Coturnix japonica: one gene and its partners. The protein of the gene in region 1 binds, or shares a complex with, the protein of each later gene. Links are inferred from orthologs where the notes say so. Each region holds a gene or a part of one and is shown in the gene's direction. Other genes may lie near its edges. The genes, in order: INHBA, FST and ACVR2A.

Region 1 (7,860 bases):
GACTCATTGTGTTTGCATTCAGTCTGATTTGAAGTTCTATTCTTTAAATGGATACAGAGATCTCCACTACAAGTTGAATCCACGATATTTTGTCATGCTAGACAATTAGGAGTTTCCATTAGATAATTACCAGAAGTATGTCTCATACAGGAAAAACAGTCAATTGCTGATGTAACAGGATTAACCAATCCAGCACACTGATCCGGCCCACTTACTTTTGACAGACACTATATGTGAGTGTACACACGAGAAGTACAGTATAAAGCTTCGCATTATAAGTACCACAAAGAGGAACTTCAGCAGTTCTTAATGCACAATACAGCAGTCTCCTTCTCAGAGTGAGGACTAGAGAGGTAAAACTTTAAACCAGCTTCTTCCTTTTTAAAACTAAAACTTTTAATTCATGTGCATGCTGTTGCTATTGCTAAGGCAGTGCTGGATGAATGCATATGCAGAGCTCTGCAGCTCAGGTAATTTTATGGAAAGAATCTGAGCCATCGTTTCTGTATTTATTCAAACACTGTGTTTTTTGACATGAACATCTATGTATGTATGCATGCATATTTGTAAGTATGAATGAACTCTCTATCAATGGTACCAGCAAACTCGCTTTTAGAAAACAATGCTTTTAGAAAGTTATGCTTTAACGTTAAATCTGTCATCACCATGGCATGTGGGTATGCTACAGTATACCTATATGTAATAGACTGTGATAAGTGTACCTGTTATATAGGCAAGCAGCATACACCGCACAACATGAACTCAAATGTACTGTCTGTCTTTTAAATTGAAATGTGCCTATCTCTTACTTTTCATCAGACGCTTTTGGGATAGATACTATATTAGAACTATAAATAACGCCTTTAATTATGTCATCTGTTAGTACATCTAATCATGAATGCGTATTTTCATGTCTCTCTTTTTTTTTTTTTTTTTTTTTTTTTTTGTCCAATTAAACTCGTAGTTCTATTTCAAGCTGACTTTCAGACTTTGGGCTGTTCACAAGATCCAAGAAATTTCAATGTATTATAGCGAGGTTTGTGTTACCAAGATGGCTGCAGGGCTTATAATGCTGACAGACCTGTAAGTGTAACAGTATATAACAGTATAGCAACTGAGGTCAGTAAAACGCAGATGAGGGTGTACTGTGAATGCCTTCTAACAGTGAAAGACTTATAAAATACCTTAATTGAAAAGGACTTGAAATATATAACATTTGTAAAACTTGGTTGATTTTTCAATTACTTCTGTATGTTTCACTTACTCTAACTATAATCCCTTGCCTGTCTCTCTGCCCGCATGCCTGTAGTTATCTCACTAAAACGACAGACCTTACAATGCTTATCTTTATGAATTATTCTTTCCCACTAAAATACAATGGTTGATGGTAATACACTGAGAGGGAAATGTTTTCTGGGAAGGAGGTAAGCACACCTGAGAAGAAGAAAGAGGTTTGTGCGTGTGTGTGTGTGTGTGTGTGAGAGAGAGAGAGAGAGGGAGAATGAAAGAAGGTAAATACCAAAGAAGCAGAAGCTCTGAGAAAATCAGAAAAAGTTCAAGTCCAGCGTGAAAGAACCTCAGAAGTTAAACTCCATCAGCTGTAGTTTTCTCAGTTTCTGTTACGAACTCCAAGTGTGAAGGAGTTTGTTAGCTTTATCCTCGCTAAGTAAGGTGGAGAATGGAGATGCTGCTGAAGTTAAAGGCAATGTGAAGCCTTAACAGAGACTTCCCATTGCAGGGCAGAAGCCTTACTGGAATAAACTGCTAAGGTTCTGCTGACATGGACTGGAACTCTGGCTCCTAGCAGTGCTTTAAGATTGCATTTCACTCATTATGTCTTGATCTAATATTACGATTGTGTAGTTTAAATGGATGAAACAAAAAGTTCCTTCGAATAACAATGGGCCAAATGTAGAAGATCTTACTCAGTCTTCACTCAGACAGAATTATTATTGGCACTGATGAGGGATTTGCTTGAGTCAGGAGCAAGTACGATTTGGCCAGATGACATGTAATATGTTCCGTCTTCAAAGCATTTTTCAGACATTACTTGATTATTCCCAAACCTAAATAGGAACTTCTAGGCACAGACTAGCATAGTAGCAGGGATGTTTTTGGTTCCTGAGTAGTACCTTTGCATGTCACAGACCTGTGCCCTACCAGCTCCTCCTGCTCTCAGTGCCTGGCTTGCATTCTGCAGCTGGAGAGAGTATCAAGTATAATAGAGCCCTCCAAACAACAGGATTATTTTGTTTCTGTCAGATCTCCTGCCAGTGTTGATAACCTCCAGCATTTACAAGTGAGCAGAAAAGATCTTTTCTACTCAAGGCAGAATAGCATTCTACCCAAAATATTCTCAGCCCCTGCCATCATCCCGGTCTTGTTCACAAGCTATTTAAGATCTCCTGCTAACCCTAACAATACCATACAGGACAAGAGCAAGGTGCTCATTAATAAAAGGTTTCATTCTTCATTCATTCATGTTTCCTCTGTTTAGTTAAGCCAGAGATACTGTTGAAGGAATAAAACAAACAAAAAAAAACACCAAACCAAACCAAACAAAACAAAAAAAAAGAAAAAAAAAGGAGGGGGGACGACAGCCAGGAGGGAGCCCCAGGAGGGTCAAACTGGGAAAAAGGAAGAGTAAATTTACAGGAATTAAGAGATTTTACACAGGAGGGCAGAAAGCCTGAGTAGTGATATTTGAAGAGAGGTGTGTGTTAGAGGAGCAATGAGCATAAGGAAGCCAGCCTGCCTGTTCCTCCCCCTTCCTAATCATAGCCTTTACTCACAGACAAAACTCCCTCCCTCTCCCATTCACTCACTCACTTTAGGCCAATCCGTCCTCTCCCTCTCTCTCCCTCTCTCTGTGTCTCTCTCCTACTCTGAGACAGAGTCAGAACTCTTCTCCCTGACAGCCACTAACATCTACAGCACTTATTGCATTCAGAGAGGGAACCTGCAAACAAAACTTCACAGAAAACTTTTGGTTCTTGTTCCAGAGAATTTGCTGAAGAGAAAGAAAAACAAACAAACAAACAAACAACACAAACCAGCCCCCAAAAAAACTGTGCGTGAAGGGGGAGGAAAAGCAGGGCCTTTTAAAAAGGGAATCACAACAACTTTTGCTGCCAGGATGCCTTTGCTTTGGAAGAGAGGATTTTTGTTGGTGATTTGCTGGATTATAGTGAGGAGTTCCCCAACCCCAGGATCCGAGGGGCACAGTTCAGTCACTGACTGTCCATCATGTGCCCTCACCACGCTCTCGAAGGATGTGCCCAGCTCACAGCCTGAGATGGTGGAAGCAGTAAAGAGGCACATACTGAACATGTTGCACTTGAGGGACAGACCTAACATCACCCAGCCGGTGCCCAAGGCAGCACTTTTAAATGCCATCAAGAAACTCCATGTGGGAAAGGTGGGAGACGATGGCTATGTGGAAATAGAGGATGATGTTGGAAGAAGAGCAGAAATGAATGAAGTTGTGGAACAAACCTCAGAAATCATCACTTTTGCAGAATCAGGTGAGTGCTTAAAAACAAAGCAGTAAAACAGCCTATTTATCAGAACTGCAATTAACTTCTCTGTAGCAGTACTGCTTTATGCGAGGTTGTGAGATGAGACCTGGGGGAAGGGAGAAGGACGAATGGGGTGGGGTGGGGGGTGGAGGGGTGACGGGGACTCTGAAGGAATTTGATTTTTCTGATTTAGTCTTGCCTGCAGATTGCACTTGCTAGTCACAGGCAGACGCGCAGGGAAGAAGCTCTTTAACCCATCTCAAGCAGAAAGTCAGGCTGCAAAGGGGTGCTCCAAACTGCTTCTGAAACCAAAGTACTTGCACTAAAGTACTGGATTGCAGTGCTGATGGTGAAAGAAAAAGGGCTCAAGGCATTTGGGGATTTTCTAAGGACAGAAAAGTAAGCTGCAAACTACTTGAGAAACTGCCCTTTAAAAATTACAGTGGAAGTTATAAAATCAGATGAGCCAGCTTTAACTTTTAGAAGTGAGAGGGCTTTTTTGTTTTCTAATTTAACACAGCATCTTCGGCAATAAAGAGTTGCAGGGACTGTCAGATGACTTCAATAGAATTGGACAAGTTGCTGTAGCTGATCCAATTTGTAATGCAGACTTCTGCATGATGGAAAAAAAAATTCTGCTCCTAAACTGCTTCTGCCAAAAAGAAAAAAGAAAAAAGAAAAAAAAAAGCAACTTTGATAGTTTATATTTTGAACTTTTTCACAGTTCTGTTTTTTCCTAACTCTTGTATAGTAAGGGTTAAGAATATAGATATTTATTAACTAATGGCTAAGGCTCACATCAACTGCCTATCAGAAACAGCTTTAAAGTTGTAGTTTACTGTCTTATTCCTACACGAATAGGACAAAAACTCATTTTAAATCAGTGGATGTGTATGTGCATATGTATCTGTTTGCATATATATGTTTATGCATGCATCAATGTCAATATCCTGCAAAAACTCTATCATCTAACAGCAACTTTTTATGATGCTGTCTAGCCAAAGCATTTTTCCTGTTGCCAAGACAGTTTTAAAAGAATGTCATTGTTTTGTTTGGTACAGCATATGGTAGGCAAAGTATGCAAAGGAACACCAAACATTTTTGTTTAAAAGTTTGCTGCAGCAGTATAAACAATTAAGACAACACTCAGAGTTTCCAGTCCTGAAAACCTGTTGACTCAGATGTTCTGTTTGCAGGGAAGCCATGCATAAGAAGTGTGCATGCTTTTAAGATCAGACATTCCTGCTGCCTGTCCAATTTCCAACTGCACAGGGACCCCTCGCCTTCGGTGTTCTTGTCAATACACACATTATCAGTCCCTTCAGCATGCAAGCTCAGGCTTTTTTTCTTTTTTCTTTCTTTCTTTCTTTCTTTCTTTCTTTCTTTCTTTCTTTCTTTCTTTCTTTCTTTCTTTCTTTCTTTCTTTCTTTCTTTCTTTCTTTTTTTTNTTTTTTTTTTTTTTTTTTTTTTTTCCATCCCCACCACTTCAGAAAGCAGGCAGACATCAGTGCCAGAGGTCCCCAGAACCAGGGGTGGCTCAACCTTAGTTTAGAAATGAGCTTTTAAAAGCAGCGAAATCTCTACGAGTCAGATTCCCCACCTGGTATTCAGCAGCTCATTCTGAAACATATATGGCATGAGCAGTGGTTTCTCGTCCCTGTGTGAGTCCCAATCATTTGTAAACACATTATTGTCTCTCCTGAGCTCTCACACAAAGGAATTTGGAATTTGATATATGCCCACTCAGTACGACATTCTCCAACGGCGGCTCTTGAAGCCAATGGCTCCCAGGGCCACGTGAGCAGAGAAAATCATGCCCAAGCCCACAGGCTGGCCAATAGTTCAGCCACTAATCCCCCTGCTGCAACAACCCCACACCAGTGCATCACTGAATTTGATTTAGATAGTATTGTCCCATAACTGATAGCCAAATTCATTTAAGAAGACTTATGTTATATGTTATGGAGCATGTTAGGGACATATGCTATGTTCCTATGCCTTTCCTTTCTTGCTCTCCTCTCCAGCTCCCCACCAAGCCTGTCCTGGAAGGCTACTCCAGGCCCACATCCCATGCATGATAGGCTTTTAACTGCAAGAAACAACCTAGAAACTGAGTTCTACGCTTTGGCTTACTGTGGAAATGTTAACTCCACTCTGCAGAGAGACTTCCAGTTGTTGAAACATTACTTTTCATCTGTAGCTGTTCATAGTTGGAGCCTCACTAACAGTGGTGGACCCACCATTCTGCACAGGTTCCAGGGCTGCAATAACTTGAGAAAACTTTTCCTGGGTTCTCTTTCATTTCTCCACCAGCAGTATTGTGTCTCAACTTTATTTTGAGGAAACTGAGACAAAAAGAAGGCAAGTAGTGTGTCAGATAGGAATTATTAGGAATAAATAGTCAGGAACATACTATAGCCGCATGAGCAGTTACCAGTGTTCACTCTGTAGAAACTGGAATAAGTTTAAAGCACCAAGGAGCAAAACTGAGTGTGTTACTCTCACAGTCAGATTAAAGTTCTTCCTGCTTTTAATATGAAACTTGCTGCTTCTCCAAAAGGGGATAGAAAATCAATGAAAATGAATGGAAGCATATTGCCTTATATCAAATAAATGTCTACTGAAAGAGAAGTAAGACTTTAGGCTTTTTGCTCCTTTAGGTATAACTTGACATAAGCCAGCCATTCCCCTTACCTTTTAGAAGCCATGTTTACTGCTTGCCTTCATAAAAAAAGCAGTATTTCCATCCTTCACTAGCTGTATCCTCAGACATACAATGAAACTGAGTGAATGAACAGACAGTACCCTGTGCATGTGGCTCTGGCTTGAGACTGCTCTTTTATAAAAATTCAGGTGAGCACAGGATACAGACAATTAGGAGAAAAACTACATGCAGTGAACTTGTCTGAAACACAGGTGTAGTTACGTCCAGGAAATCAGCAAAATAGTTGGCAGGTAGTTTTCACAGCTAACAAATCCAGGCAGATCTTTGCAAATGTAATGACTGTATTGGGCAAAAGTTTACAAATGCACCCTACTGTCCTCTGGCACTTTTACAAGTAAAACATGGAAATGATTTTCTACTTGCATATCAAACTGCAATTGCTAACCTCGATTAGTTCTGCTATGAGGATAGCTGTGCCAGAGCTCTGTGGGTTCCTTCAAGGACTTAGAAATTATTTTGAGGAGAGGGATCATATACATTTAAACAAATCCAACAGGTTCTATAACTGAGATAGCCTGCACTCATAAAATGTGGTTGTCCACTAAGTCCTTCATTATTTTAAATAGGTCGCTGATTAAGCAGACCTGGGATTTTTCCAAGTAAATTTGATCCTGGCAACTAAACTGCCAATTAAATGGGTTGCTAACATCAGCCCCTGAAATGTTGATGGGAATTACTGTGTAGAAACATAGAAATCCAAAGGCTTATCATTAGGTGAACTGTCGGGGGGGGAGGGGGGGGAAGGATAGAAAAGTCTGACAGATATTTACATTGCTTCTGCTTTTTTGTACCCCTTCACATAGTTGCAGGTAAACTGCCTTGATCTTGTAACACCTACTTTTATTTTCAGATATGCGTAGGTGCACATTCACAGCTTTTCTTAGGAAGATGCCTACTCCTATAAAGCCAGGCTGGCAGATCAGGAGGAGGAAAAGGATGGGCCATTCATGACTCTAAATAATTTCATCAGTTTGCTCTTGGAAGGCAGTATATTTAACGATATGGCTATCTGTGCTGAATAAGGAATGGCCACGAGAGGGCACAATCCAAAGGCTTTTTGCTCCATGTAGGCAACCTTGCAAGCTCCTATTATACCTAACTAAATCCTGAATCCCAGAGATCTTTAAGCTTATGTGTAGCTTCTCTGAGTGGAGCTCTTGTTTCTCTCTTCTGGGTTATTTAAGAGGCAGAGATTCACTGCAGTGGAAGACTGCAAGTAAAATAATGTGCCAGAGGAAAAAAACTGATTAAATGACGGAAGCTAGATGTTCTGGAAATCTGAAAAAATCAGAAACGTTCATTATTATTTTTTACCAGATACTGTGAAATGTGACCGTGATTCATCATCTGAGCTGATTTTCTCATATCTGTTTTTAAAGCAGCTTTTAACTTTTAGAAAACAAGTCTCCTTCCCTCCACTTTTATTTTGTTTTGTTTTGTTTTGCTGTTGTTGCTTTGTTTTGTTTTGTTTTGTTTTTTTTTCCTTTGGCATATTTTATCAAAGATTTCAAGTTTAGCAAATGAAAGCAAGTTACTTCCAGAAGAAGAATGCCATTCTGTATTTATCTGTTTCACTGTAAGAAAATGTGAGAATTCAGAGAGGCTGGTTAGTTGGAG
Region 2 (7,723 bases), on another chromosome or scaffold:
CATATTGATGCAGTGAATATTGACTTATCATGAAACAAATAATCCACATATACATGGATGTGCGTTAATAGCAGTTACACAAGGTTACACTTGGGGATTATTCTTCCTCCTACTCAGTGTTTTACAGCAATTTCCTAAGAGATCAGCCACTTAATATTTTGGGGTCTGCTGTAGATACAGCTCTACTAGAGATAGGACAAAACCACACATTTTACACAAACCGAGAGCTATATCTGAACTCTCCAAACGTTTGAGATGTCAACGTATGCGGGTGTTTCAAAAAGCTTTATTATTCTAAGTTCAGGGCCAGCTGTAGAGAATGGATTCACATCCAAACACATATATTAAAATGTATACACTTCTTGGTAGAAAGAAGTTTCAGAATCCGACAGGCTGAGAACAACACTCTTTTTGTGTGCTGCCTGACAATTCATTTACAGATCAACCCTATTGTTTTTTTGGTAATTTAAATGTGATAGTTGGCAAAGGAGAAAAAGGTGGGGAAGTTCAAGAGGGAGGGACACACTGAAAAAGAAGAGAGCATTTCTGTTTGTACAATATATCCCTGACATGTCATTACACACAAACCCAAAATTTAGCTTTTGAAAAAGAAAGGGGGGAAAGAAAAACAACAAAACAAAACAATAAAAGAAACAGCAGCTGTTTCTATGTGATGTCAGAGAACAGGTGTGATACAAATCTCCATACCAGCGCAATCATATTGATCTCCCGATGATGCACGCATGAAGCACATGTGCAAACGTTATTGACCCATCCGGCATCTCATTTCCAGGAATACGGCCTGAAAATGCCTCTCTAATAGTTGAAAACATTTTCAGGATAAACACCATATGGGCCAATTTTGGGGGGAGCCGGGGGGGGGGGAGGGGAGGGAAAGAGAAAGAAAAAAGAGAAAGAAAAATACATCATAAAGTTGGAGAGGGGAGCCAAAAAATGAAAAAGAAAAAAAAAAAAAAAGAAGAGAAAAACAGGAGAAAGGTGAGCCTATGTGAAAGGTGAGCTCGGGGCGAGCGGCAGGCTCAGATCTCAGCGCAGTGCCGCCCGCACGGTGCCCAGGGCCGGATCGCGGCGCTGCGCTGCTGCCGCCGGGCGCTACGCGGGGCTCTGTCCGTCCGCTCCACGAGAAGCGGCGGCCTCGGAGGGCTCCCTCGCGGCTCCGGAGTGCTGCGATGTCAATTGTTAATGCCATCTGCCATTAGAGGGCACTACGCAACCCTGCATTCAGCGCTGCGTGCGCGGAGGGAGAGGCAGGGACAGTGAGGGAGCGGCACCAATTCGGGAGAAAGATAGATTTAAAAGGATGCGGTGCTCCCGAAGTGCTGAAAATGCCTGGGCGCCAGGCGGGACAGTGGTCGTAATGATAACAAACAACAGAAAAAGAAAAAAAAAAGAAAGAAAGAAAATAAGACAGAAGAGTAAAAAAAGAAGAAATAGGAAAAAATGAAGGATTAAAAAAAGAGAGAAAGAGAGAGAGAGAGAGAGAAATGCGACGAGGTCAATCATTTACCAGTCTGCCGCTTAATGCGTGTGACTGCAGGTGGCACCGGGGACATTGTGATTCATGCCCACTTTCAAAGCGGGACCCGGGCCCGGGCTGAGGCACCCAAACAACTGTCTTCTAATATTAGCACGGCTGTATTTCTGGATCTATTATAGTCTGTCCAGACAGATCCCATTGTAATGGGATCTTTTATTAAAAGATTAGCACTATCTCCTGCAGTTGGTGGAAAAAAATCTGTTATCGCTGAGTTATTTGCAGTTGTGGGGAGGGGGCGGGCGGCGGAGGCGGCGCGGAGGAGGGCTCGGGGAGGGCCGGGGGAGGCGCGGGCGGCCGCGCGCACCGGGCCCTGACCCGGCACTGTCCGGGCATTCCTGTCTGCATACTTCGCAGTCTGTTGTGCTTTGGTGGCTCAGAAAAGCGAAAGAATCGAAATTAAAAAGGCAGCTTTTGAATAAACAATACCATTTTCCGTTAAGTAATCGTTTTGTATAAAAGGAAATATCGCCTACTCAGTTTCATTCAGCGGTGCCAAAAATGTTATAAATGAGCGACCGCCAACTTTTCTAAGAGGAGAATAATGCCAGACTGTGCTTAATAAACTAGTGCCCTAGAAGTTCATTATCGATGTTGCAATCTTTTCTGATTCTGAAAGGAGACCGCCTACGTCGCCCCCATTCCCGTCTCGTCCTCCCAGGCTCCCAGTGAAAAAGGCCGTCACTTGGGCAGAGCCCTACGTACTAAACTTTTATTTGGTTTCTTTCCATTTATTTATTTATTTGTTTGTTTGGTGCTCGGCTGATCGCTCTCTCCCTCTCGGGTTTCTGGGGGCCGAGCCCCGGCCGCGACACCGCCGGCCGCCTCCCCGCCCGCGGCGGCCCCGCTCCGCTCCATTCCGTTCCGCTCCGCGCGGGGATGGCAGCCGCGGAGCCGCCGCGCGGGGAGAACCCCGGCCGGGAGCTGCTCCCGAGCCGCGCCGCTCCCAGCTGCGCCCCCCGCGCCGGGACCGCGCTCTGCGCCCGCGGAGGCTGCGCGATCTCCGGCCGCACCGCACCGTGCTGAGCCGAGCCGAGCCGCCGCCGCGCGGGGCTGCGCGGGTGCGCGCCCGGGGGAGCGCGCCCGCGTGTGTGCGTGCACCTCCAGCAGATAATTGGAGAGGGTTTCCAGAAGGTGGAAAATGTCACCTGATTCACACTGAACTTTTTAAATCTCCCCACCCCCGAGCAGGCACACACACACATTAGGAGACCGCCCACCGCAGACAGCTAAGACCCCCGTATAGATTTAAAGAGAGACTGCATTCAGAGCCTGACGTTCATTCAATAGAGCGATCATAAGCAGGCTGGCTGGTGCTCGCTCCGTCTCTCTACTCCCCTTCACGCTGTTCCTGTGTCTCTCTCACTCCCTGCTACGCTGAGGATGTTAAATCAGAGGATCCACCCGGGCATGCTCGTACTCCTGATGTTTCTCTACCACTTCATGGAAGATCACACAGCGCTGGGTAAGACCACAGCGTTTATTCGGAAGTGTGTTTTATTATTAGTGTTGTTACTATTACTCTTATTTTCCGTCTTTCGGGCGCTGCTTACTTCGCTGCGATGTTTGTTACACGCCTCTCTCCAAGGTCCGAACGGACAGAAGTTAGCAGCGGGCGCGGGACTGCTCGGGACAGGGCGCGGAGATGTCACGTAGGTTCCCCTTCGGTTCGGACCTTCCCTGCTCCGCATGGGCACGGAGGGCACGGGGGGATGTTTCTTGGCACTCCTCGTGATTATGCAGCGTGAATGAGGAGCAGCATCGCGGGGAACTTTCCTGCGCTCATGTCCCGAGCGAGTGCTCAAAGTTTGTTGGTAATTCTACTCAGATTTTTATCTCGCCTTCTGACAGAAGCCCCGGGCGCACAGCTGACACTTTCAGAAGCGGTGGTGGTCACTTTCCGGGCATTCCCTCAATATTGGGATTTCCTTCCCTCCCCCCACCCCCTTTGTGTGTGTGTGAATAAGTGTTGTAAATTCTCCTGCTATGAGGAGTGTGCCTAAATAAGTTTGCTTACTTAATTATTCTTTCCCATGCGAACAAAACGATCCTGAACCTGATACTGACAACTCTTAAGAGCCCTCTTTCGACACTAGGAAACAGTGATTTGCAGTTTGGGGTGTTTTTGTTTTTTTTCCACCTGATACTGATTGCGTCCCAACCTGCATGTCTGGGTTTTCATTTTTTTTTCCCATTTCTTCTCCCCCTCCCGAGTTAGAGCAATAGTTAATGTAGGCAACTGTAAGACGCAAAACTCTTTTTTCTTTCTTTTTTTTTTTTTCTTTTTTCTTCTTTTTTCTTTTCTGCAAGGGCGTTGTTTGTTCCATGTTTTGTAGCCGGGAGGGGTGAGGGGAGGATGTTCCTCGCGCCCAGCGGCGCCCCGGCGGGCCGAGCCCGGCCCTGGTGCGGTGCGCTCCGTTGGAGGAAGGAGCAGGATCGAGCCTTGGCTGGGTGGGCACCATAATCAATTGGTATCGAGTCGCTGGTGGAGTCACACTGGTTATGCACGAGAGGCTCATCCCAACCCAAACTCTCCAGCTAAAACAGGGGGAGTTGCTTGGACTCATGTTCTTGGCTTGACTCCACGAATAACAGGGATACCAGTGGGGGAAGGAAAAAAAAAAAAAAAAAAGGAAAAAAAAAACCCACTGTCCGGTTTGAGGACAGCGTGCTGCGTGCTTTCCTCTGAAACGCTCGCGGGGGAGACAGCACCTCCTACTTTTCCAGTGTGATCGATTCTGAAGAACTCCGCAGGGAGCTCTATCGGGGTGCCCTCCTGTTTCGTGTACTTTGCTGACTTTTTTTCTTGTCTTTGTTGTCGGAGCTCCGCTGAGTTGTTTTAGCGAAGGGAAGACGTTTGTTAATAGAAGAAGCGAAATGTGGAGATTTCGAAAGAGTTCGCTCACAGCGAATGTTCCCAGTCGGTGCGGATTGCAAAACGTGCTGGGGCTGGGGTGCGTGCGGCACTAACACAATGCTGCCGGGCGGCCGCGTCGGAGAGGGCAGGGGGAGGAGGGAGGAACTGCAAGCGCGATTTTCTTTTTATTCCCTTTTAAATGCACATCCTTTTCAAGCCTCTGTCACGTGCCGGCAGTGCTCCTTCTGCTCTACATATGGAGTAAAGACCTGGGAAACTGCTTCGTGCTGTTTTGATCCGGTCTTTTTCTTTCTGATTTATTTATTGTTATCTCACCCAAGCGGACCGGGCCGGATGCGGGTTGTGGAACGGGACAAATAATGCCAGCAGTCCAGTAAAAGTCAGTGCGAAGCGCGCGCGGTGCCCGTGCCGCTGGTCCCGGCACTGACCCGGCCCGGTGCGCCCCTGTCCCCCGCAGCTGGGAACTGCTGGCTCCGGCAGGCACGGAACGGCCGCTGCCAGGTCCTCTACAAGACCGACCTCAGCAAAGAGGAGTGCTGCAAGAGCGGCCGCCTGACGACTTCGTGGACGGAGGAGGACGTCAACGACAACACGCTCTTTAAGTGGATGATTTTTAATGGGGGAGCCCCTAACTGCATCCCGTGCAAAGGTGAGGGGGCCGGGAGTCGCGGGTGGCTCGGGCTTGGGGTGGCCTGATGGGGTGGCCAGATGAGGGCCTGGAGACGGCAGTGCTGTAATCGTGCTGCCCACCGCCGAGGGCTGAGGGCCATCGCAAAGCAGCGCCGGGGTAGGGGGACTGCTGCTCCTCATCCGCACAGGTCAGTGGGAGATGGGGAGGGGGCTCTTTGCACGTGGCTCTCCTGGCTCCAGGATTTCCTTCCAGGTCTGTTTCCTGCATGGTAGCAGTGTGAGGGGTGCTGTCATTTTATGCCCGGGGGTCTCCATGTCTTTTTTGCTTTGGGCGCTTTTGACACAAGTCTCTTCTGCATGTTTGGTAATAAAGTTATGCCTCTTTCCTTCCTTCAGAAACATGTGAGAACGTGGACTGTGGACCCGGGAAGAAATGTAAAATGAACAAGAAGAACAAACCTCGGTGTGTTTGTGCTCCAGATTGCTCTAATATCACCTGGAAGGGCCCCGTGTGTGGCTTAGATGGGAAAACCTACAGGAACGAGTGTGCCCTTCTCAAAGCCAGATGTAAAGAACAGCCCGAACTTGAAGTCCAGTATCAGGGCAAGTGCAAAAGTAGGTTTGCAAATCTCTTCCAATTTCCATCAAATGGCATAGGATGTGTGTGTGAGTGTAAAGAGGAGGAGCTGCATGCTTCTCCACAGTAACCAGAGTGATGTTCCAACCATGCTCATAGTCTAGGATATAGCTGGATTGATTGAGAGTTCCTCACAGTTTAGCAGCAGTTGTGTTCCTCATGCTACCCTGAGATGGAAAGGTCTCCAGCAGCCCTTAAATGAGTACCAATGCTGAAGGCTTTTGTCCGATTGTTTGTATCATTCTGTCACCAATTCACTCCTCACTGGGGCGCCCACATATTCTATTAATCATTTTTTGTTTCCATCTTTATTTCAGAGACCTGTAGGGATGTTTTATGCCCAGGCAGCTCCACATGTGTGGTGGATCAAACCAATAACGCCTACTGTGTGACATGTAATCGAATTTGCCCTGAGCCTACCTCCCCTGAACAGTATCTCTGTGGGAATGATGGCATAACTTATGCCAGTGCCTGCCACCTGAGAAAAGCGACCTGCCTGCTGGGCAGATCCATTGGATTAGCCTACGAGGGAAAATGCATCAGTAGGTATCTTGGCCAGAGGGATAAGTGCAGGGGGGAGCTTGCAAACTCATCTGTTTTATCATGTTATGTGGAAGTGGGTGGGTGGGTGAATGGATGGATGGATGGGTGGATGGATTGTTTGAAGGGGGAGGGAAGTGAGGGAAGGAGGGAGTAAGTTTGTGCTTTGGAGAAGGTAAGACTCCCAGCAGCCTTGGTTTGTTTTCCTCTCCATAAGAAACGAGAGTCAGAGTGAGCTTTGCTCCAGGAAAAACAAAACCAACAAAAAAACTGCAAAAGGGGCATAGAGGGGTTGATCCTGCTCCTCTTGCCATGACTGTGGGTGCTGACATTTGTGTCCAAGAGAGAAGTATCCACCATTAGGCCGATAATTACATGGCTACGGCATAACAAGGTCTTGATATTCAGTGGATCTGAATTCCTGGAAACAATTGTCTTCAAGTGGTCTTGGCAAAGCTTGCATTAATTTAATTGGAAACATCTGATTACTTTTTACTCTTTAAAAATATTGCAGAGTTTGGGGACAGCTATCGGGTGAAGATAGTAAAATAACCTCTGTGCATCCTGACATTTTGCACTGTGATTTTGAGAAAGAGGAGATAGTGAAATATGTTGCAAGGAAGCAACTTTAGGGCAACCTCTGCCCTTCCAAATTGCTGCTGAGATGCTGGAGAATCTCAGGCTGCTTTTGGTTGGCACAGCTTGAGGTGAATTCCCTTAACAATCCTGTAGACAGCAGCTTTATGTGGGTTAGTTTAAAAGTAATTGATTTAGAAATGCTGAATGCGTTGACAAATTCTCCACTTATCACTAATTTGGTGAGCTGAATGTCCACTGACAGGAAATGGAGCAGAAAGGTCATGTGCAATAGGCAAATGTAATTCCATACTGCTAGGGCCAAGGTCCACTGGCACACCTGTCCTTTCTCCCTACTGTACAGATAGGCAGTGGTATCCAAGGGTCTACTTGATTAAGACCATCAAGAATCATCCCAGCTACTGCATTTTAGCTTTGACTATTCATAGTTCATTGGGGAAAATTGAGTTTGGGGCTGTTAGGGGTTGCTTTTTTTTGTTTCCTTTGTCTGTTCACTTACCTCTAGTATTCCGTGTGTATTTTTAGAAGCGAAGTCCTGTGAAGATATTCAATGCAGTGCTGGGAAGAAATGCTTGTGGGATTTTAAGGTTGGCAGAGGTCGATGTGCCCTCTGTGATGAGCTCTGCCCTGAAAGCAAGTCAGACGAGGCAGTCTGTGCCAGTGATAACACGACTTACCCGAGCGAGTGTGCCATGAAGGAGGCAGCCTGCTCCATGGGCGTGCTTCTAGAAGTAAAGCACTCTGGATCTTGCAACTGTAAGTGAGATTTTTATCTCTGTAGACACCTAAGGCTTCTGAAGGCAATCCCTATTTAATAAATACTCACATCGTTAAACCTAAGAAAGCTCCATTTAGAGATTCAGGATGTTGCACATGTGCCATGTGA
Region 3 (7,734 bases), on another chromosome or scaffold:
TTTATGTAAAACAGGCAGCCCTGCAGTATCTGCATCTTTTCCCACAGTATGGAAAACTAAGCTGCCTAGAAAGGAGGAGATCCTTGCAAACAACACTGATTTCCTGCTGCTTTGCTCACTTCTTGTCTCAGCTCTATAAGGTCAGCGTTTGAAACACGTTTCTCTTTTCCTTCCAGGTATACTTAGAACACAAGGGGAGATTAACGAGGTAATGACAAAGGTTGCATCTATTATTGTTATTGCTGATATTATAAAGCCCATGTTTCTTACTCTGCATTTTAAAAATGCCTGCATAGAGACTACGAATGAGTCTTGCACAATAGATTCTTACCTACAATGCTGCTTCTGTGTAAACAGTATTGATCCAGTGTGGGAACGGCAAAGGCACAGATGAAACCCTCTAATCATAGCAGCGCTCTGAAAAGAAAAATGAGACAATGCTGTTTTTTTAATTCCCATTACTCCCTAAAAGGAAAGTTACATTTGTGCTGCCTCTAAACCAAGCAATGTGAACAATAGAACAAAACTAAGATCACATCCATTTCATGGTGTTAATGCTGCTGCTCACAGGCTCCCTGTAGATGTCTATGTCCCTGATACTGTGTCTTCAGTGCTCATGTGTCACAGTAAATGATTCATTAAAAACACACAGACAGACTGATCTTAGAAGTGGGCAAGAAGAGCTGGAGTTTAAGGCAAAGGGAAAAGAGAAGTAAAAAGTGACAAGGTAGAAAAGGGAAATGCTCCCAAAATCCACGTGAGCAAGGCAAGCAAAAAGACATCTAAAAAGAGACAGCAACTGTGTTGACATTTCATATCTCTTCGTGGGATAAAACTCATCCTTTTACAAACAATAATAGCAAGAACCCAGAGCAGGCACAAAGCATTCTGCATCAAGTACCTCACAAAAACACTAAGTAATTCCTGCTAAGGCCTGCACAATATTTGCACCTATCTACTTCATTTCTTTTTGGAAGCAAAATTCAACAGGAGCGAATCTCTGATGCAGTTCTATTCATGTTGTGTTTCCAAAGATACAGCTGAGCCCAGTTAAAGGTGTTGCATCCATGTAAGAAAACCGGGTTTTATTGTTCACATACTGAAAATAAGCACATTTCTGCTTTTTCTTAATTATTTCCTTTCTTATACTACATTAAGTAGCTGTGCAAATGATGAAAGGCTTGCTTAGAGTTGAAAATAGACCAATACCTATAATAATATTGATACTGCTGGACTGAAGACTGAGTGGGCTCCTTAACCCCAGACATCAGCAGTCATCCTAACCCAGACGTATCACTTGCCATGGTCGCATAAGGCTTCAAAATTGGAGAAAAAATAAAGGAATATATGTTTTGCTTATGATTCCTCTGATCCTGATGAATACAATGGCCGAGATCAGCCCTTTAAGGAGGATCGCTGCTTTTGTGGATGGCCAGGAGGCTCCACTCTGCTCAACTGACACTGCAGGCAAAGACCTGCCCATGGTTAAGAACAAGGAGCAACTTGAGAAATCTCGAGATACCTCCTTCCTTCCTACAAAATTCATGCAAATGTTACACAGGTGGCATATTTGTGCTATTATATCTATCTATCTATATATATAAACACATACAATGGCAATATTTTTAGCTGTAATTTCCTGCTCATGTGGCAACACGACAAGCATCCCGAAGAAGCTGAGCAAAGTGAAAACGCAACCTGCAGAACAGGTCACGTTTAAATACTCTGCTATTGAAGAATATTAAAAGCTACAGATTAAGTAGGAGTGTTGTAATGCATTAATTAATGCTTGTAAATCATCCTGAAATGCCTGGATTAAAAAAAATGGCATAAAAAGTGTTGCCACACATCCCGGTGCTTCATGATGCGCACGATCCCATACGGCTTGTTTGATTTTGGGGTATTTTTCCAATCAAAAACGTCACTGGAGGATGACTTTGTGTTGGTGTTTGAAGTGAGGATCATAGAATCATTAAGGTTAACAAAGAGCTCTGAGATCCCCATGTGGACCCACCCCCCATGCCCACATCCAGGGCACATCCATGGGATGGTAACCCCCACCCGGTGCAGCTGTGCAGTGCCTGGCTGCTCTCTGGAGAACAAATGGCTCCTCGTATCTACTCTGAACCTCCTCCAGCACAACTTGAGGCCATTACCCAGCCTTGACTTACGTTTGGTGGCCCTGCCAGGCAGAGGGGTTGGAACTACATGATCCTTGAGGTCCCTTCCAACCCGGGTCATTCTGTGATTGACTTGCAAACCCACACATGTGAATTACCTCGCACACAGCACCCAATGTAGCACCACGTAACGACAGCTCCCCACCAAGGGAACTTGGACCGTAACCCTCCAATGCACATCTATAGTTAGTGATGTAGTTATTGAGAACTTGGTGCTTCTTGCTTCAGAAATACAGAAGTTAAATCCCAGCGCTGAGGCCTTTGTGCTTCCCCACATCAGTCCTCAACACCTAAACAAGCATTTCTTTATCCCTGATGCAAACTATGGGCATCTATTAAAGCCACCAACGGGGCATTAAATAAAGGAGGGCTTCCCACCGCAGTCGTTACACAGAGCAGCTCTGAGGGCGGCGCGAGCACCACGCCCTGAGGCGGGAAGGCGGGGCGCGTGCACGCAGCCCGCTCGCGCGCCTCCTCAGCCGTGCGCGCGCACACGCGGGCAGGTGGGAGGGGAGGGGAGGGGGGAGCGCGCCCCGCCCCCTCGGGGTGGGTCTGGAGGGGGGCGGGGCCGAGCGGCGCTCCTCGCGCTGTGATTGGGCGGCGCGGCTGTCAATCCGATGCGGCGCGCTCTCGCACGGCGTGTCTTGCCGGGCTGCCGTGAGTGTGGAGGGGAGGGGGGGGAGGGGGAGGAGGAGAGGAAACAAAAACAATCGGCCGGGCGCCGCCATCTTGGGTCCGTTCTCCACGCCACACAAGTGAATGGGTAGATATGAAATTACCACAGGGGAGCAGCGGCAGCAGCAGGGTACGGAGGGTCGTTCCGAGCTGCAGGTTGGACTTGGGAGACTTTAGAGACGGCTCCAACCACCAGCACCGCCCGCAGATCGAAACCGGGCTCGGCCTTTTCTCCTCGGCAACCCTCAAACCGCACTGCTGGAGGGACAAAGTTGGTGTCCGCCGCTCTGACAACGGCAAAAGGGAGACGGGAGAGACCAGCCGAGATCCGAGCGGGACGGGAGTGAGGCGGGAGGAGAGCTAAGGACCGGGAGATAAGGACTGAGGGCTGCGAGCTCAGGGCTGAGGGCTGGGAGCTCAGGGCGGCACGAGGGCTTCTCCTTGTCAGCCCTTCTCCTGTGGGCCCTTCTCCTGTCGGTCCTGCTTCTCTTTTGCGTTTATTTGTTTGTTTTTCCCTCAAAAGCAGCAGACTCGTTGCGGGGCGATGTCCCCGGGGGCTGCCGAGGGAAGGGCCCTGCGGGCGGCCGTGCAGCCCTGAGCGGCCCCGCGGAGCGCAGCCACCGGGAGCCGTGCCTGGCCTTGCCGTTGCTTTGCTCTTTATTTTCTTTATTATTATTTTTTTCCCTTCATTTTGCGTTTAAATACCAAGCCGAGTCTCGGGGGAGCTGGGTGGGTGGGGGGGGCATGGAAGCATCGTAGGGGGAGGAATCGTCGTAGAGGGGGGGAATCGTAAATCGTGTTTCCCGTAGCGGAGCGCTCAGCCCCGCTGCCGCTCGGACTGTCGGAGCGCTGCCCGGAGCCGCCATGGAGCCACCGCGCTGCCCGGAGCCCCGCGCTGCATAACGGGAACCGGGACATAGAGCGGGGAAACACGGAGCTTCATGACGGAGTGAGCGCCGATACACACCGCCTCGGATCGCACCCGGCGGCTCCGCCGTTGACTTCAATCAATCTTCCTTTATTTGCCGTGGATTCGTAGCGTACTTTTGTGAATTAAATCCCGCCGCTCTTGGTCCAGAAGCCAAATGACACGTGTGTTTTGAAACGCCGCTCACAATAGTTCGAGCCCCCCCGAACCCGGATTCTCGCTTTGAAGCGACCGTCGGTCTCCAAACGACCCCGATTTTACTGTTTGGTGAACACTATCAACGGAGAAGTTTGCTCTAGATCGCTTTATAACGGTTCCGCAAGAAGAGGGGATTGTCCGGCTTGCAGGACCGAGAAACTGGATGCTAAAAGTCACTTAAATGTTCTAACGCCATTGGAAAATGGGAGCTGCTACGAAGTTAGCGTTCGCTGTTTTTCTCATCTCGTGTTCTTCAGGTGAGTGCGTGCTTTTGTTGCTTTGGGCTCAGCTGTTGGAAGCACGAGGTGATTGTATCGGTGGGACGAGAGGTCATTTCTTGAGATGAGGTTTAGGTTGGATACCAGGAGGAAGTTTTTCCCCCAGAGGGTGGTGATGCACTGGAATAGTTTCCCCAAGGAGGCTGTGGATGCCCCATCCCTGCAGGCATTCAAGGCCAGGCTGGATGTGGCTCTGGGCAGCCTGGGCTGCTGGTTGGTGACCCTGCACACAGCAGGGGGTTGGAGCTGGGTCAGTTTGTGGTCCTTTTCTATCCAGGCCGTTCAGTGAGTCTATGAAATGCCAAACGTTTGGGGATGGCAGTGAAAGATTCCTGTTCTCACTGTCATTCCCCGGTGCACAACTCTTTCAGGTACGTGCAGTGCTCATAGTGCTCGTGTGGGTCCCACCCGGGGCTGTGCCCACCTCGTTCACTTGTGGGCAGTTCCCGGCCTCGTGTTTGCTCCAGTGGATTATTTACCAAGCTGTGAAATATTCCGAACTTAATTTAGGGCTCTGGAAGCGTCCAGCGGTGGATGGCAACCTTCATTAATGCTTCATTAGTTCGGAATAATTGCTGTTGTGAAAGCATGAGCTCATCCCGCACCGATAGCGAGGGCTGAGCACGTATCGGTGCGTGCACCGAAACAGCCCGAAAAGCCAGACTTTCCATTTCCGAACAGTGATTTGTGTTCAGCTGTTGGGTTTCGTGTTTTGCCGTTCGGTTTTTCACTTTCTTAGCGCCTGAAACCCGGCGGTCGTGCTGTGGCTCTCAGACCTCAGAGACGAGCGGTGTGAGAGGCTCCATCCTTTGGGCTGGGAGGGAAATGGTGATGGAGCAACCGGTGGCTGGAGAGCTGCTGCCACCAGCTGCACCTGAAACCTGCAGAGCTGTGTAACACTCGATGTGTTGCTCGTGTGCTGAGCCTGACCCTTCCTGCTCACGTGCTGAATGTGTGTGCAGCCCTCTGTGTGTGTGTCGATGCACTTTTGGGCTCTGTTCTGTGCAGTGCAGGGACACACTTGTTGCTCATCCTGAAGGCCGGCTGGCTTTGTGCGGGACTGCTCCAGGGCGGTAATGAGATCTGCAGAGCGATGATGCCTTTGAAAACTTCAGCCTTAGGATGCGAGGGATTTTGCTGAACGGCACATTTTCTTGTGGTTAGTAAATGGATAGTCTAGTCTTGTGTCTGTAGTGTTATTGATCAGTTCCGTGTGGGCTAAATGTGCTGTGAAATGGCGATCTCTGCCAGGGAGAAACTGAAAAAAACCCTTTCTGTTTTAAGCAGACAAATAGCAGGGCAGGTTAGGGAGAGATGGGAGTGGTTTTTTGGGTTATTTTTCTTCAGATTAGAGTACGCCATTTATTCCTATTGCGAAACAGCAGGCGATTTCTTGCAGTGATTTTGTCCTGCCCTGGAAGCTGCCTTTCATCTTTCCCTGATAGCTTCTTTTGGAAGAACTCGTGGAACCACATTCCTCTCCATTCAGGAATATCTTCTGCAGGGAAACTTTTCCAGCCCTCTGTCCATTTCTGAAGCCGTGGTGCCATCTGTTCCTCCTGCCTGTCTCTCACCTCCACGTCCTTCTTTCTATCGAGCTCCCTCTGCTTGGAGCACAGAATAGCGACCTTGTTATCTAGCGTTCATTAAAAAGAGCCGTTAAGTAGCAAAACCTGTCCCATCTTCTCCATTTCTTAGTCACGGTGGTGTCGGTGAAACAAATATTTCTCCTCCCTGTAAAGGTAGGAATAATCCTCACTAAGGGATCGGAAGGTTGGCTGTGACTTGGACAGCGGTTCAGATATTAAGGGCATCGTTGTGGTGGTTATTCCTGTATTCCACATGAAGTATCCTGGTATTTAACACACATTAAACTATTTTCTGCTCTACTGCTTGGAGTAGTGGAGCTTCTGCAGACCTGGTGTGGGTATAAACATGAAGAGAAGGTTTTGTTTTTACACTCGGAACCATCCGATTCTGTGAGCTTCCAGCATGAAGTCCAGCGCTTTGATGAGCAGCGTTCCTTCTGATCGCTGGCACTCGCTCAGGTTCAAACTCCTATTGATCAGTCCATTCTCACATCATGGTCAAAAGAATAAGCTTCCTTTACAGTTTTTCAACGGAGAACGGAGTGGGGGGTGGGGGGAGGAACCTTCCTTCGATTGTTTATTCCAGAATATTGGCAGTGGCTGAAGAAATGCAGGAGTTCAGGTGTAAAGGCGACTGGTTCCACTCTCCAGCTGCTGGGCTCTGTGCATGTATGTATGTATGTATGTGTGCATGTGGGGGTGTTGGATTTCTGCCTTTATTTATTTGCAGTGTCCTTTGTGCAGCTATTTTCCAAAGTTGCTTACGTGGCCCATTAATGCTATTGTTCTTTAACTAGGTGAAAATGGTTTGTTCTGTGCCATGGGTGTGGAAGTGGGCTTCAGCATGAAGGCGTTTTATTTAACGATCTCTGAACTGCTGTACAGAATGCTGGGAGCTTCCTTCAGAGGTGTAGGAATTGCCAGTGAGTTCAATCTATCAGTCTTTGCTAAGAACGTGGGAATATTTCCACTTTCTGACTGTGGTATTTAAATAAGAGAATCTGTGTTATGGTACCGGCCTTCACAGCAGTTTGGATGGCTGGATAAAAGTGGGTATGGATTTGCACCCATTTATACTCATCCAAGAGAATGAGTTGAACGTGCAGGAGCTAAACTTCAAAGTGCCCCTGTGCAGTCATGTTTAGTTCCCTGAGCACCGTCTTTCTCATACCCTCCGTGTGTGTTAGTCCATGGAGGTGTTTGCCTGAATAAAGAGCCAAGGATCCTGAAATGATAATTAAGTCCTTCTGAACAGTAGACTACGCTTCCCGTGCCTCTGCTCATTGTAAGCAAGCTTAATAAAGTGAATAAACCAGCACGTTCATCAAGGAACACTTCCCTTCAGATGCTATCTCTGTTCTCCCCACCCCCAAGGAAGTGTTTCTGTGTTCCCTTCGTCATTACCGAGTTACTCATTATGAACTTTCAGGAATACATTGTACGCCTTCACTGCTCTCTGTGCTGTTTCCGAGCACGCAGCCCGTGCAGCTGTGAGTGTTGGGAGATGTTGAAGCAGTGGCTTCTATTTAACCAAAGTCTTCTATTGCGGAAGCTGCAGCTTTAAATTCCTAATGGTATCTCCCAAATGATCATTTCCTCTCTTCCGAGTTATCAGTTCTTTCTCTGTACCTGGGAGGTTGGCAGCAGAGTAGTTCTCCAGCTTTGAGTTTCCAGCAGGGAACAAGACCTGAATTTGTTGCATGCTTCATGCTTAAAATCACTTCAACAAAAGCAAGCACATCAGGAAGGTCCGCATCCTGTCTTTTTCCCCCGAATGTTGGATCATTCTTAAGCCTTTTTGGGAGTCGAGTCATTTAGCCAGAAGAAATGATTCAAAGATAATGCTGTAGGTATTTCCACAGCCTGGGGAATGGTTTGATTTTTTT

Evidence for each region.
Region 2: the proteins of INHBA (region 1) and FST are in contact, whole or in part, in a crystal structure (PDB 2P6A), measured with the Homo sapiens proteins. The link is inferred for Coturnix japonica from reciprocal best matches to the Homo sapiens genes INHBA and FST. Residues at the interface, in NP_002183.1 of Homo sapiens: Asp315, Phe327, Asp337, Trp338, Ile340, Ala341, Gly344, Tyr345, His346, Gly360, Thr361, Gly363, Phe368, Thr371, Arg397, Ser400, Leu402, Tyr404, Asp405, Asp406, Gly407, Gln408, Asn409, Ile410, Ile411, Lys412; in NP_037541.1 of Homo sapiens: Trp33, Arg35, Val44, Leu45, Arg60, Phe76, Met79, Asp135, Glu152, Pro154, Glu155, Val180, Val181, Asp182, Gln183, Tyr188, Val190, Arg221, Thr224, Cys225, Arg229, Ser230, Ile231, Gly232, Leu233, Glu328.
Region 3: the proteins of INHBA (region 1) and ACVR2A are in contact, whole or in part, in a crystal structure (PDB 7U5P), measured with the Homo sapiens proteins. The link is inferred for Coturnix japonica from reciprocal best matches to the Homo sapiens genes INHBA and ACVR2A. Residues at the interface, in NP_002183.1 of Homo sapiens: Ile340, Ala341, Pro342, His346, Arg397, Pro398, Met399, Ser400, Met401, Leu402, Tyr404, Asn409, Ile410, Ile411, Lys412, Asp414, Glu421; in NP_001265508.1 of Homo sapiens: Asn36, Asp53, Lys56, Phe61, Thr63, Lys65, Val74, Lys75, Cys78, Trp79, Leu80, Asp81, Asp82, Ile83, Asn84, Val100, Phe102.

The regions. Positions count from the first base shown.
Region 1 is NC_029517.1:76,023,116-76,030,975, forward strand, and holds the start of INHBA (inhibin beta A chain), read left to right. Parts: upstream 1-2,625; 5' UTR 2,626-2,731; coding exon 2,732-3,524; intron 3,525-7,860. UniProt on the Homo sapiens protein: Inhibins/activins are involved in regulating a number of diverse functions such as hypothalamic and pituitary hormone secretion, gonadal hormone secretion, germ cell development and maturation, erythroid differentiation, insulin secretion, nerve cell survival, embryonic axial development or bone growth, depending on their subunit composition.
Region 2 is NC_029547.1:17,652,667-17,660,389, forward strand, and holds the start of FST (follistatin precursor), read left to right. Parts: upstream 1-2,938; coding exon 2,939-3,020; intron 3,021-4,890; coding exon 4,891-5,082; intron 5,083-5,459; coding exon 5,460-5,678; intron 5,679-6,017; coding exon 6,018-6,242; intron 6,243-7,362; coding exon 7,363-7,593; intron 7,594-7,723. UniProt on the Homo sapiens protein: Multifunctional regulatory protein whose primary function is to antagonize members of the transforming growth factor beta (TGF-beta) superfamily including activin, myostatin, GDF11 or bone morphogenetic proteins (BMPs).
Region 3 is NC_029522.1:31,388,480-31,396,213, reverse strand, and holds the start of ACVR2A (activin receptor type-2A), read left to right. Parts: upstream 1-2,866; 5' UTR 2,867-4,183; coding exon 4,184-4,238; intron 4,239-7,734. UniProt on the Homo sapiens protein: On ligand binding, forms a receptor complex consisting of two type II and two type I transmembrane serine/threonine kinases.